Linked DNA regions of Caenorhabditis elegans. The protein of the gene in region 2 purifies or fractionates together with the protein of the main gene of each other region. This does not show direct contact. Each region holds a gene or a part of one and is shown on either strand. Other genes may lie near its edges.

The links. Proteins that work in one complex are often made in the same cells at the same time.
Region 1: the proteins of ain-2 (region 2) and alg-2 purify together in Caenorhabditis elegans (affinity purification with mass spectrometry, with the first as the bait; one study listed by BioGRID). This does not show direct contact.

The regions. Positions count from the first base shown.
Region 1 is NC_003280.10:871,584-879,225, reverse strand, and holds the start of alg-2 (Protein argonaute-1), read right to left. Parts: upstream 6,015-7,642; coding exon 5,960-6,014; intron 5,575-5,959; exon of another isoform or gene 5,446-5,574; intron 5,067-5,445; coding exon 4,964-5,066; intron 4,367-4,963; coding exon 4,193-4,366; intron 4,124-4,192; coding exon 3,783-4,123; intron 3,740-3,782; exon of another isoform or gene 3,539-3,739; intron 3,492-3,538; coding exon 2,430-3,491; intron 2,199-2,429; coding exon 1,240-2,198; intron 789-1,239; coding exon 750-788; 3' UTR 1-749. Other genes in the region: fbxc-51 (F-box C protein), read right to left, coding at 7,627-7,642.
Region 2 is NC_003279.8:4,651,675-4,659,527, reverse strand, and holds ain-2 (ALG-1), read right to left. Parts: upstream 6,002-7,853; coding exon 5,986-6,001; intron 5,931-5,985; coding exon 5,842-5,930; intron 4,186-5,841; exon of another isoform or gene 4,180-4,185; coding exon 4,032-4,179; intron 3,808-4,031; coding exon 3,070-3,807; intron 3,018-3,069; coding exon 2,748-3,017; intron 2,323-2,747; coding exon 2,041-2,322; intron 1,590-2,040; coding exon 1,273-1,589; intron 844-1,272; coding exon 766-843; intron 520-765; coding exon 211-519; downstream 1-210. Other genes in the region: ptps-1 (Putative 6-pyruvoyl tetrahydrobiopterin synthase), read left to right, coding at 6,622-6,774, 6,827-6,958, 7,205-7,342.

The DNA.
Region 1 (7,642 bases), on a different chromosome or scaffold from region 2:
CAGAAGCAGCGGGCATCTTACGGGATCACTGGTGCAAAGTAGGAGACAATCAGGCTTTTAGAAGCAGTGGACATCCCACAGGTTCCCTAATAGCAGCGGACATCATACGGGCTTAATAGAGCAGCGTTTGCTAAAGCAGCGGACATGCCCCGAGCCCAATAGAGCAGCCGACATCTAATGGTGTTCTAGAAGCAGCGGACATCTCACTGGCGTACAGAAACAGCGCCCATCTTACGGGCCCCCTAATAGCAGCGGACATCCTGTGGGTTCCAAAATATCACTTTATTCTGTTGGACTTGCCATTGGGAAACACAAAAAGGCATTGTGGGTGGGGGTGGGTTGAAAAACAGGACAATCATGAGGTTTTTTTTCAGATACTAAGAGAAAGACAGTTTACAACAAAGTGTACCAATTGAGTGATAAGGTCGTATTTAATTAGAGCAGAGGGGGATAAAGACACAAATGGAAAGTATTTGGAGGATCGAAAAAGCATTGTGTGGCTAGTATGGAAAATGGCTCAAGAAATTTGGAAAAAAATGGAAAAAAAACTTGGTGAAAATTAAACACCTAACATAATTGGAAATATTATAAACCTGGGCTTGAAAGATATTAAAGTATTGATTGATATTGATAATTAGGGGAAGGAAAAACATGAAAATCTCAGGGGGCAGAGGAAACGGGAAAAATGAAAATCGAGATGCATAGATAACAAGTGGCTGTGAAATGGCAGAGAATCCGTAGTTGGAGACTTAGGCAAAATACATGACGTTGTTCGAGTCGGGATGAACCTGGAAAAAGTTGAAATTAGTAGGTTAGGAAAGCGTGGGTATAGGTGTAGGTGTAGGTGTAGGTGTAGGTGTAGGTGTAGGTCTAGGTCTAGGTCTAGGTCTAGATCAAGGTCTAGATCAAGGTTTAGGTCTAGTTCTAGGTTTAGGTCTAGGTCTAGGTCTAGGTCTAGGTTTAGGTCTAGGTCTAGGTCTAGGTCTAGGTCTAGGTCTAGGTCTAGGTCTAGGTCTAGGTCCAGGTCTAGGTCTAGGTCTAGGTCTAGTTCTCGGTATAGGTCTAGGTCTAGGTCTGGGTCTTGGTCTATGCTTCAAGGACTGCGCTTCTAGACTCCTAGGCTCCTATGCCTCAAGCCTCAGCCCAGATCCTGATCTCAGTCTAGATAAATAATCTAGGCCCAGATCCTAGCTCTATGCTTCTGCCTACACTCTATCTCAAAATCCAAACAATGCTCACCTGTACGGCCTTGGCCATGCTTGACAATGTTGTATCCTCCGACGACGTCCCCGAAGGTTGTGATCCTTCCTCTCCGGATCCATGATCCCTATCGACCAAGTGATAACGAGCACGGAACGCCACCAGATGTGCATAGTACGCCGGCGCCGGGATCGACACAGACCTCGTGCATCTTACATAGGTATGACACATTTGGTAGGTCAACTGTTGAAGCTCGTCGGCCGTCAGATCATTGTCATCCCAGAGCACATGGTAGTGAGATGGTCGGGATGTTCCTTGGATACCAGCGTGGGAGCAGAGGAAGAAGTCGAATTCCGTTGGATGCGTGATTCCCACATCTACAGTTGTTCCTGGTGGGATGTTGAATGCTTTTCCTACTTGATCAGCTTTATCCGCGGCGAAGAGCCTTGTGTGATGTCTCTTTTGCACAGCGATAAATGTGATTCCTGGCTGGTATCCACTCTCAAGCATCACACAAGCTTCACGAATTGCGCGGAGCTCATATTGGAGCACATTGAAGAGTTGACCCTCAGACACTCCATCTCTGTAGACCACAATTCGGGCTGGCTTGAACCTCGTGTTACGGTAGAACTGGACAAGCAACTCTCGAACCATATATGTCAGATCCGTAATGATCTCCTGACGGTGCTGCTGGACCCGAACTGTTGCCGCATATCTACTCGGGTGAGCATCCATAGATCCTACCACTGCGGCGATGGATGGCTTACGGGTATCACCGGCTGCTGGATGGGTGATGTCGCAACCCAGGAAGATGACGGGCTCGTTGAAGATCCGTGGACGCACGTTTGGCAGGAGGATGCTGTTGACTCCACCAAGCTTCACATTCATCTTGAGACAGAGGTTGGAGAGTGTCTGCGGGGTGGTTCGGATGGCGTTCTTGGCCTGGACGCACTGGGTGGCGATTCCGAGGACGGTGTCTCCGACGCGTTTCACTTCGGCTGAAAATATAGAGCTTCAGATGGGGTTGAAGAGGTAAGGATATAGATGATCTTGGTCCCAAGATTCAGAGCCCAATGATCTAGGCCATAGATCCTTGGAACCTAGGATTCCAAGAGCCTAGCAGCTTAGGATCCCAGGACTCCATGATCTAAGATCTAGATCCTTGGAACCTAGGAGCGTAAAGCTTACACCAACACCCTAGAACTTTCACCTACAATTAATCAACTTACCATAGATCGGAGTCTTTCCTGGCAGCACCACCACAATCAACTGAATCGCCGAATAGGTCTGCTTCAAGTACTTGAACATCGGCTCCACCTGCTCCACTCCAGAAGCATATTTGCAGAACATAGGGGTACCGATGATTGGCATTCCAGCGTCGGTAGAGATCCTTTGCAATTGAGTCGTGAACATCCTGAGATCATTTTCCTTGACATGAGATTGCTGAGCAAAGCATGCAATCGCCCAGGTACGGACTTCCATTCCAGTGTGGAACTGCTTCCCGCGCATATCCCAGACTCCCTGGTTCGGAAGGGCAGTTGTGGCACGATGACGACCTCCATAGAGAAGCTTCGGAGCCGAGAGCACACGTCCCTTGACTTCAGTCATTGCTGGATTGATAGTGATTCCGAATTCATGAGCAAATGGATCCGCGGAGAGCTCAGCCTTGCTTACTAGCTTACAAATCTCACGCTCACGCTCTGGAGCGGAACGAGCCGTGGCCTTGATCATGGTGGACGTCTGCACATCGGTGAGCTTCTTCAGACAACGCTGTCCTGGAACAATATCGCAGACCTCTGGTGGCAGGTACGTATGCTTCTGCTCCTGACCGACTTGGAGGCATGGAAGGTGGGGGTACTTCAGCTGGATACGGTACTTGTCAAAGAAGTACTTGGCTACAGTACACTCAATAGTTTGGCCAGTCTCCAGTTGCAATGGGAAGGTCTGGGTCTGGGCCGGGCGGCGTGTGACGTTGCAAACTCTGTACTTCCGGCGCACGGCTCCACAATGGGTGATCTCAATCTTGAGTCCACGGATCTCTTTGGTGAATTTGACGCGTTGAGCATCGGAGAGGGCCCGACGCTCGGCGAGAGCTTGGACTGGGAGCTCGAGCACCTCGGCGACGAATTCGATGACTGGCATCGCGCGGTAAAAGGCCGTGGCGGAGACGTCAATGTTGAGCATCATCTTCCATTGGGATGGTCGGACGGATTGATGGAATCCAAACCATACTTCGCGGCCTCCACCGAGTTTGCTCTCCTGGTGCATTTGCATGCCGGGCTTCATGACGCCTAAAAGATATAGTTGGAGTATTGAAGTTTGTCTGGGAGCGTAGGAGCCTAGAGCCTAGATCCTAGAGCCTAGATCCCAGAGCCTAGATCCTAGATTCTAGATTCTGGATCCTAGATCCTAGATCCTACACCCTAGATCCTAGATCCCAGATCCTAGACCCTAGACCCTAGATCCTAGATCCTAGATCCTAGATCCTAGATCCTAGATCCTAGACCCTAGATCGTAGATCCTATACTCTAGATCCTAAATCCTAGGTCCTAGATCCTTAACCAAGCAACTTGAGATCTTACCTGGAGGTGTGAAAAACGACCTTCCAACCGGGGTGTACTTCAAACTTGGCAAGTGGCGAAGAATCACATCGATCGACTGAACGGCTTCATGTGGAACCTGCCGCACTCTACCTTCCATGGCATCGTCCAGAGCTGACAGACAGACCTGACCGATCCACTTCATCGTCACTGAGAACTTCCGTTCCACTGCTGAATCTCCAGGCAGCGTCACCTCAAAGTTCATGGGCTCCGTGCCAATTGGTAGGGGCTCCCGCGTGTACATGTTACGCTTTCCATCGTAGACTGGTCGAATATTGGTGAAATATTTTGAGAAGGAGGAGATCAGGCAGCCGATTACCTCGCTGAAAATGATTAAAATTTCAGAGCTGAAGTTTTGAAGGGAACCCCGAATCAATAGAAAAAGTACTTACCGATTAACCCGTCTTGGGCACTTGTCCGGAAAGACGTCAATTTGATAATGTTGGACTGAACCTCCGGGGATCCGTACTGCAAAATGATTGGCTCGCAGGAGGATGGATCGGCCCTCGACTCCATGGTTCGGACGGACTGGGCACTGGAATTGGACGCCTGCGTCGGGTTTTGTGCTGAAAATTGGAAAATTAGAGATTCAGGAATCTTACAGGAAGACTAAATAAAAATCAGGCCTGGAGCTAAAGTTTCTGGGCTTGCCTAGGCTAAGTCTAAATTGAAAGCTTCAACAGACGCTGAAGGTCGGAATTTGATTTAGGCTCAAGAGTTGGCTTTGGTTTAGTCGGGTGGTATTTACCTTAGGCTTAAATTTGATGGCGTAGGTTTAGGCTTAGGCTTAGGTGTGAGTTTAGGCTTAGGTCTAGGCTTAAGCTTAAGCTTGGACTGAAATTTCCGGACATTCTCTAAAAATTTTAATAGAATTATAGCTAAAGCCCAAAATTCTAAAAACTTGAAGCTCAGCCAATGTGAGCTCACATTCTAAATTTAAAGTCCAAGTCTGAAGTAACTTCAGTTTTTTTTGTAAGTGTCAGATTTTTCACTAGATTCAAGTTATTAGAGGCTCTGGTTTAAGTTTCCCAGTTCTGGGCTCCAAATATAGTTTTTGGGCCCAAAATCCAGCTCTAACAAGCCCAGAAGCTTAGACTTCCTGCTCCACATCGAGCCAAACTCAGATTTAAGTCAAAACTTTTGCACAAAATTCAAAACCTTACCCAATTGCTCCGTGAGCCGAGCCGCCCAACTGTGAAGAGCTCGACGTTTCTGCGCCACCATCTGGCATGAAAGACGACGATGTCAGCGAATCGCCGGGCATTTCTGAAAACATTTTATTTGATAATGAGAAGCTGCACGAAAAAGAACAAAACGGAGCAGCACACCCAGACACAGAAAAAATGTGAACTTTAAGCATGAAACCCCATAATTTTTGGTTTAAAGTGCAGACATACTTAAGTGGGAAAAATCAAAAATCTCTCTGAAATCATAGAGGTTATTACATAGTTGGCAACTTGAGAAAAATCGATAAAATGCCAAAAAATTTTCGATTTTATTTAGTAAATTTGTTCAGAGTATTTTAAAATTGAAAGTTCGCTGTGGAAAATATAGAAAATTTTGGCAAAATTAAAGGAAAATTTGCTGAGAACTTCAAAAATCTAAAAAACCACACTAACTTTACTATACCAATTGGTAAATCCAAAATTTACCTAGATTCCTCAAAAAACCTAAGATCTATATAGAATTTAAACTGAATTTTTCGAATTTCTAGTTAAAATCTCAAAAAAACTAGTTTAGACCTCCAAAATCGGCTTCAAAAGTCATTGCGAAAGCGGGTGTTCCCTCGGGGGAAGGAATGCCGTCAACGGGCTAGCTGGCGCACTTTCGGTGCACTGGCGTGTTTTTCGATGCACCCCAAAACTCAATTAGAAAAGGGTTGGGGAGCGTGGGGAATTTGAATTGTATAGGGGATAAAATTTCGATTTTCATATGGAAATTTGGGTTGAAAATCTTATTTTCTAAATGTTAAACTTAATAAATTAGAGAAAACTTTAAGCTTTTTAAAGTTTTAATGAGAAAAATCAAAATTAAAAATGAAAACTATTTTTAAAACTGAGAAAATGAAAAGAGAAACCCCCTAATCGCAAGAAAAACGATTGACCAACACAGCTGGCCTCTCAAAAATGCGCGCGCGCGGGTAATCTCGGACCACTAACCGAAAATCGATAATTTTCCAAGTCTAGGACCATTGTGTACAGGCAGAGGGAACATAGACGCAGAGAAACAGGGAAATTGACAGGTGGGAAGACGGTCCGTTGGGAGTGTTAGATGACGGGACGCGATAAGGAGACGCAGACACAGTTTTGGGGGCAGACTGTTCGGGTAGGGGGAGGAGGAGGAGGAACGTGGGAAAATTGGCAGCGAGCCAAGGTTAGTTTGAGCCGTCATAACTCTGCGGTAAGTTGAGATATTAAAAAGTTGTCAACTAAGAAAATATAGAGAAAGTTGTGTAAATCATTTTGCCTGTTATTAATTTTTTGTTATATATTCGAGGCCGAACAAGGAGGCGAAGACGAGTAGTTTATTATTACATAACTAAGGAATAAATAGAAAGTTAGTATACATAGATAATGAGTTCACGTTACACGATCTTCATATCCACGTTAAGGGTTAGGTACACGTAGATACCCAACATCTCCCCTCTTCAATGACAAACGAGAGCTTTGGTGAGGAGCCATCCACGAATGTCTTCTGAGGTTCTCACGGACCACCCTCCAGTGTGACCGTCGATATTGCCAATCCTTTGCACACGGTACTTCGGTGTTCACATCCTCCAATTGCGGGTTCCAAGTTAGCCACACTTCCCGTACCAATCGAAATATTTTTGATGTCTATCCACCCTTCACCAACAGACTAAAAAAACGTTGCTGCCTGAATATTAGACCCAACCTTGAATCATCCACACTGATTCCGCCTGTTCCACCATCAACCTGTTGTATCCCAGTTCCTGGTTGTGGATCATGTTATGACCAATAACAATTTGTGCAATCGTCCAATGACTGAGCATTTGAAACGCATAGGTGGCCTTCACTCGCATCTTCAAAAGAGTTGAGCAATGATTCCTTCTTCTTTTCGACTTCAAACCAGAAGCCGCTCCTGTCCACCTTGACTGCAACTGCAGAGAGCACGGCAGGTGCCTCTTCCCAAAGCTGACCTGATCCACCTCAGAGGTCTTTTCTTCCCAGTAGACATGTGTAGATCAAAACAATACCTCAGAGGTCTTTTCTTCTAAGTAGACATGTGCATGAAGTCAGTGGTGCAGTGAGCCCGAAAGATCCTGATCGCCAATGTTATATATTCGAGGCCGAACAAGGAGGCGAAGACGAGTAGTTTATTATTACATAACTAAGGAATAAATAGAAAGTTAGTATACATAGATAATGAGTTCACGTTACACGATCTTCATATCCACGTTAAGGGTAAGGTACACGTAGATACCCAACATTTTTTATTAGCTTTGATGCTTTTGGAGATATTTAAGTTTTAAAATTGATAAAAATCAGGTAACCTGTCCCTACTTAGAGCTATCATAACTATGCTCAAAGTTGAGCTACAAAAAATTTGTAAATTAACAACTTATAGAACAATTTGCGTAGATTATTTTGTTAATTGACAATCTTTTGCTAACTTTTGTAGATTTACAGATATTCAGATTTTAAAATATACCACCTTCGTTGAGCCGGTAACTAGCAAAATATAGAAAAATTTAGGAACATTTTTAGTACCAAAAAAACATTTTATTAAAATCCACGCAACAAATTTCAGATTATCAAAAACACGACAACAAGACATAATTGAAAAAAAAAATTAGCAAATTGAAAAATCAGTCCTCCAATGGT
Region 2 (7,853 bases):
ATATTGATTTTAAAAAGTTAAATTATGAAAATAAATTGATGAATACGAGAAGAGTCATAAATAAAATAAAAACTAACAAGCAATGCAAATTTTGGCATAAAAATTCTAGACTTTTTCAAAAGAAGAAAATTAAATTTACAGCAGCAGAAAAGAACGAACTGAATAATTATATATTTGATTTCAGATTAAAAAAAAAGAATAAATCAGCATCTAACCAAGGAACGAATAATCATAATAATGATCAGGTGGTCCACCACCTCCACTACTATTAAAAGAGTCTCCACCAGCAGCACCACCTCCACCACTTCGTGAAGTACTTGGACCAGCTCCTCCATCGGATCCTGGCGGTGGTCCTCCTCTATGATTAAGATGATTGGTAGATGTATTTGCAGATGTAGATGTTTGTGGTTGTGGTGGAAGAAGCCCAGCTTCGATCAAAGCTTCGGTGATCTTTTTAGATAATTGTGTCACCTCGATCTTTGCAGTCACTACTCCGATTACTGCTTTGTCGTGATCGTTCTGTAATTTTTATTTTATTATTTTTATTCATTAAACTCTAATCTTTTAAAAAACTCTTTGTGATAACCCAGGTTCGGAAATTTACGATCTTTAGCTCTGAGATACTGTAGCAGGTCTCGAAACGATCGAAAATTATGCTGAATTCGTAGCAACTACAGTATTCTTTAATGGTACACACTTCTTTCCGTGAAAATTTTTCGATCGCTTCGAGACCTGGTACCGTACTTTTTCATCAAAAATGTTTACCTTTTGATCCTTGCTCATCCACGATTCTTTCTCCTCTTTGCTGGCTCCCTCGTCATAGTTCGAAGGGCGATTTTCTCCCTTAAAAAAGTAATTTAAAAATATGTTTCTTTTCATTCTAGTTTTTTTTAATTTTTAGCTCTTCACCACCATTCTATAGACACAGAATTTTGCGATTTTTTGAGAATAAATACAGTGCCCGGTCTCGACACGAAAAATGTGTGCTCAATGCAAAAGTATGTGCGCCTATAAATAGTACCGTGATTCAAAACCTTCTTTACTGCGGAATTTTCTTCGATTTTTCAATTAACTAAAAATCTTTCAAACTAACAAATCGTGAGAAAAACTGTGGAAAATTAATTCCAAATCCGCAGTAACGAAAATGTGAAACTACAGTACTCTTTAAAGGTGCACACCTTTGTGAATTTAACAAAATATGTAGTGGCGAGACCCGCAAAAATCGCAATATTTTGCGTCTGTGTAATATTATTATCCCAATAAAATACACACCAATTTTTTGAGCTCATCCTCATAGTCGTCCAAACGCGGAATGACCGCCAAAATTTCGGTGAGCAAGTCGAGCACGTTGGGCGGAATGTGCGGAAGTGAGAGTAGGGAAATATCCAAATGACCCTTCTGAACGGCTAATTTCAGATTTTCAGCCAGCTTCTTCTGGCTACCATCCTCGTCCAACAATGAAGATGAGGATGGTGGTCCGCCTCCAACATTTCCACTGCCGCTCATCATCAACATGCCAATTGGAATTGATGACGATGAAGCTGATGATCCGACACCCATTGTTGGATGTGGTGGTACCATTGAGGATCCTGCAAGAAAATATTCATTAAAAAATAATATTCATTAATAAAAAATTACGGGGAAACTAAAAGCTATAGTTTGGGGCGCCGCTCCAGTCCACTGTAAATCGACATGAGATCTCATGTCGATTTCCGGTGGACTACGCGCGATTTTACAGTTTCTGTTAAAATTTTGTATTCTGGACCGTTTCCCTCATTTCTTTCTGTATTTCCCACTTAAAAGGGAAACAGTAATTATGGGGTTTTCATAAATAAATTAATCGATTTTTACTTGAAATACTAGCTTTTTAGGTTAATACAGAAGGAAAACAGTCCAGGATCAAGAATTTAGCAGAAACTGGGAAATCGTGCAGACAAATAAATTCTGGGTTGTCGACATAAAAGACGCGCGGCAGGGTTGCAGTCGGAGCTCCGCCTCCTCTAACCATTCTATTCCTAAATTCTATTTTCTGGTACGAACCATCCATGACAGCAGCAGACCACAATGATCCACCATCAAGCACCCCATTATCACCATAACCTCCATAGTGTGGCTGATGTTGTTGTTGATGTTGTTGCTGTTGCATGTGTTGAGCAAAGAATGGATTACGTGTTTCACTATTTGATTGACCTCCTCCAACTGATGGACTATTCCACATTGAATTATCATTTGATTGATGATGAGATGGATGACGTCCACTTCCACCACCGCTTATACTTCCTTCATCCCAACCACGTGACGAGCTTTGATCGAATTCTGAATCTTTTGAAACTTTAGTACAATATTGCATTTTTTCTCGTTATAAATGCCAATCGTATAATGTTTCAATTTTGTTAAACATTTTTTGGATAAAAATGAAAAACTGTTTTTAAATAGTATTTGGCGGCAAAACCGTAAATTAAATCGTTTTCAATTATTTTCGCCAATTTTCAAACATTTTTCGTCCCTTTTGTTGAGTTTTTAATGGTTTTTACTAATTCTTACAATTTTCACCTTGAATTGATGCATAAAAAATACATGAAGATTTTTTTTTCATTTGTTTATGAATTTTATCATCAATTTCGATGTAAAAAAATATTTAAAAAAACGGAAAACGCAACAAAAAAATTGGTATAATTAATTTTAAACGAATAAATTAATGGTTTTACCACCAAATACGGAAGTAGGATTAAAAAGAAAAAACGAACCACTCTTGTCAGTACTAATTTCAGATGGAATATCACCCCATCCACTGGGAACAATGGGTCTTCGTCCAATCCTCATCATAGCATTCGCCTCTTCTTCGGCTTGTTGTTGAGCTTGTGCCACTATTTGTGGATTTTCAGATGTTAAACGTCGACGAAGAGCTTCTTCATTCAATGCTTTCTTTTTCAAATGACTTGGACATCGTTCCATTGCCGTTTCAAAGTCTTCTTCTTGGCCTTCTGGCACAATCCAACGGCGAATTGGTTTACTGTCTGGAAGCAAGAAGATTAAGAATTTAATATTCAGAATTTTCAGAAAACTTACTTGATACATCAGCATCACCCCATCCACTCAATCCCTTATCTCTCAACGATTTTTTCTTTTTCGCGTCTTCATCATTCTCATCAGTCCACATTGAATAATCATCCATTGATGATGATGAAACTCCGAATCCTCCATTCTGATTTCCACCTGGTCCGTGCTGTTCGTGTGGTCCTCCTTGTGATCCTCCACCACCTCCACCCATTGAGAATGGCGACGGAGCAAATGAGGGTTGTTGATGATGATGATTCGGTTGATTTCCACCATAAAATGGAGGCTGACCAGGTGGAACCATCATTGGTGGCATATTGAATCCCTGTTGAGGCTGTTGCTGCTGCTGCCTCTGTTGATTCCCTCGATAACCACCTTGACCTCCTTGCATTCGATTCCCGTATTGATTCTGATTATTTCCACGTTGTCCATATGGTGGCATATGAGATGGATGATGTCCTCCACCACCACCAGCTCCACCACCATATCCCGAAGGATCATAGAGATCGTCTTGTTGAGGTGGAGGTACAAATGGAGCAGGTTGATTCCATTGTTGGACTGGCGGTGGACCCATATCACCATATTGTCCAGGAATTCCTGATGGTGTCGATCCTAATGACATACCATCCATTCGCATATTAATATCCATCACATCAGGCATTCCACCCATTGGTGGTGGTGGAGGATATTGAGGCATAAATTGTCCTTGTTGTGGTCGGAATCCGTGTGGCATCATACGATTCATTCCACCTGAAAAATAGAAGTTTGAATTTTGAATCAATTTTTAAATCATTTTTTTAAATCTCAGTAATCGCTACAGGTGCCGAATTTTACAGACTTGCTGATTTGATGATATTGAAAATTAGTTTTCATATAATTTGAAATTCTAAATAGCAGCAAATTTATTTCTTTAATAATTTTAAAATAATTTCTTAAATAATTTCTAGTCACCCAAAAAACGAATCAAATCTTACCATGATGGGGATTCTGTTGTATTCTTTGATTGTGCATACCACCACCTCCACCACGTCGTCCTCCTCCGCCACCATTCATGTGATGTGGTCCTCCACGCCCAGGTCCTTGCCAACCGTCCCCGTTCATACCCGGATCCGCCTCGTATGGCTGAAAAATGTTATGAGTTTTATGGAACAGAATCCAATAAAAAATTGGTGCAAAGAAATTGACATTACTTCCGCGTCTAAGAGATTCGGAGCTTCAAGCAGAGAATCAAAAGAGCAAGAAACCAAAAGATATGATACTTCAAAACTTGGAAGGCCGATAAATCGAATTTTTTGAGCAAAGGTAGGGGTACGGTAATTTTCTGGAGCACTTAAAAAAACATAATATTTTAATTTTTAAGCTTTTCAGCCAATTTTTTTTCGGTTGGTTTTTTAGCCCTGAAGCTGAAAAGCAGGTGAAACCCAGAGTAACATCGTAAAACAGGCTTTCTCTAGTAGAAATCTTCTCGGAAAGGGATATATAGTTAAGGATAGAAATGGAAAATGTATACGAGAACGGGTCTCTCTGAGAATAGTCCGGTCTTGTACCACGGTTCGGACTATATATATACATTAAGCCAAGCGATACGAAGAAATGACGCTCTAATGATAAGTTGGAAAGTGCATAATTTAGATTATAAAACCTCGGAAATTCTACGAAAATCTTAGGTGGAGTAGTATCTGCGGAGTTTTTGTCCGAAATTACCGAATATGCGTGCTTAGATTTTTTTTGTTGCAATTTTGCAACAAAAAACGATCGTGTATTAATTGGTTGTTCTTTGTTATATCACTAATTTGAAACACCTTTCGCCACATTTTTAGATATCTAAACTTAATAACCCGGCAAAATTTCGCCGAAATTCTAAAATTGGCGGAAAAATCAATAATTTAATACTTTACAGAAAACAAATCTGAAAATGTGACGCATAATGCTTCAAATTGCGAAACAATGAAAAACTGTATGCCAAAATGGTGGAACCTATTGGTTATTCAAAATAATTTGGCCGTTTTTTAGTTGCAAAATAGAAAAAAATAGTTTTTTGAGTGGAGTTTTCGAATTCAAACAAAAACATCAACGAAAAATTTCGTAAATCCGAGAATTAAAAAAAATCAAATTCCAAAACTACAAGAGTCCCTGTCACTGATCGAGACGTGGAGGAATAAGAAACAAAGAGTGTCAGTGACACAGTACGCTAGAATACGCGACGCAGACAAAAAGTGGACCCCAAGTCGGAGGACACGGACGGAGGTCGACATGACCAATCGATAGAGAGTTCGTTGCGAGAGAGAAAGAAACACGAGACGCAGAGACATGAACAAGAAGACGGGCGGTGTAGTGGTGTGGCGGTGGCGGTTCCTGGGGTGGTTTCCAGCGAAAAAAAAAACGACGAAGGGCACCAAGACGCAGAGACATTGTGCATTAAATATACGTATATATGTACAATATGAAGAAAAAGGAGAAGCAAAGCGTGGAGAGTCTGCACAAAAAAACGTACATTTTTTATTCAAGGAGCGCCCGACAATATGGGCGCCCTCGTTTTCCCCTCCCTCCACAACGACACCTTCTAGGAGGACAATGTATGAGATAATGTAGATTTTTGAAGAGACGGCAGACATTATGAGATGAGAATTCTTGATATCGGAGATTGACCATGAAAAGTGCGGAGAACGGTCAGATGACGTCATCTTCTGGTTTTCTTAGTTATTTTTTATTAACTTGTGCCCAATCAACAGTTTCTTCATGTTAATGATGACTTTAAATTGATTTTTTTAAAATTTCACTCACAACATATTGTTGAGAGTAACTCGACGGAGATCGTGTATCAACGTGTAATTGGCGATAGGGAGGTTGCCGCCGATAATTCGGATCATTGCCTGAAAAATAATTATTGTTTAGAATTAATTGAGCGAAAATATATTGACGAAATACCTTGATATCCGTGCATTTCCACGCAAAACTCTTTTAAAATTTGTTTTTTTCGCGTCTTGCTGTGATTTTTCTGAAAATAAGATACGGAATGTTTAAAAATAATGTTTAAAATCAAAATTTTGATCGAAAATTCGGAAAAAAAATGCACAAAAACGAAGAAGAATGAGTGAAAATGATGAAATATGAATTTGATTTCGAATTTTCGCGGACAAGGGTTACTGTAGTTTTTAAAGGCGCATGCCTCGATTTGAAAAAGTTTACAGGCACAGAAATTTGCTTTTTGAGTGAAAACTTAATAAATATCAGTCCATTGTTTTGAAATCACCTAATTAAAATTGAAAATAAATATTTTGCACTATTTTTTCTATTTAAAATTTCAAAATTCTCCGAATATAAAATTTTAACACGACTACAGTAATCCTTCGCTTGAAATTATTGCGTATTTTGATGCAGAAACTATAATCCTGCTGTCGTAATAAGATGATTAGTTGAAAAGAGAGACGATGACAATCATATCATAATTGTAATCAATTATTTGCAAACACCAGCGCCAGTATATAAATTATTCGTTGAACACACATAATTCTTCCATTTTTCTCCATTTTTTTCTTTTTTTTAATAAAATAAATTATTTGAATGTTCAGAATGCCAATTGTAACTATGGAACGAGTCGATTCGTTCTCCGCAGCACATCGTCTTCACTCTGAAAAGCTGAGCGACGCTGAAAATAAGGAAACTTTTGGAAAATGCAATAATTCAAATGGTCATGGACATAATTATGTTTGGAAGGTTTAAAAATTTTATTTTTTAATAAAATAAAAATAATTTCGAAAAATTTCAGGTAAAGCTCCGCGGAGAAGTTGATCCGACGAGTGGAATGGTGTATGACCTGGCAAAGCTGAAAAAAGAAATGAGTTTAGTGCTGGATACGGTAGATCACAGGAATTTGGATAAAGACGTGGAATTTTTTAAGGTACTGTAGACAGATTATGCGTCATTAAAAATGCTATTCAAAGTGTGGGTCTTGGCACGAGCGAAACTTTTCAGCTACAGTACCATCTAGTATGGTTTAAATGTTTTTTGTTTAAAAGATTCGAGAATTTTGCTATTGAAAAAAATCTAAATTAAATTTTTTTTGTTATCATAAAAAATTTCGGAAGGACCCAAGACCGCAATTTCGCGTTTCAAAACCAAGATAAATACTTTTTTCCAATTTCAGACAACTGTGAGCACATCTGAAAACGTGGCAATTTATATGTTCGAGAAGCTGAAATCCGTAATGTCGAATCCATCGGTTTTGTATAAAGTGACAATTGAGGAGACACCCAAGAATATTTTCACTTATAAAGGATGTTAATTTCTGAAATAAATAGTTTTTGAATAAAACCATAAAACCAATTTTTCAAGCCTTTTAGCAATAGAGCGTGTTTCCAAAAAAAGTCTAGATTTAATCGGATTAATTGTTTCGAAACTGTCGACGACAAACGCCCGGAAAAAATAACTATATGTGTTGTTGTAACAGCAGATTCTGATCATCAACATTTACAAAAACCCTGTTTATTCCAATTCCACTGTCCTCTTTCCGCCGCCACACTACACTTCCCCTTTTCACTTCTTTTGCCGTCTTTTGCCCCACTATATTCCTCGGCTTTCTCCCCACTCATTATCTGTGTCTCTCGTGACTAGAGTGCTATTTCATACGCACCTTCCACACACACACACACACACAAGGAGCCAAATTTGCACAAGCTTTTTCGTCATTTTTTCGTCATTTTTTTCAAATGTGAATTTTTAGAAAACTTGAAAACTATAATTTTGTATTTTCACCTAAAATTACTGCAAACTCTTGTATTGAAAATTTGAAATTA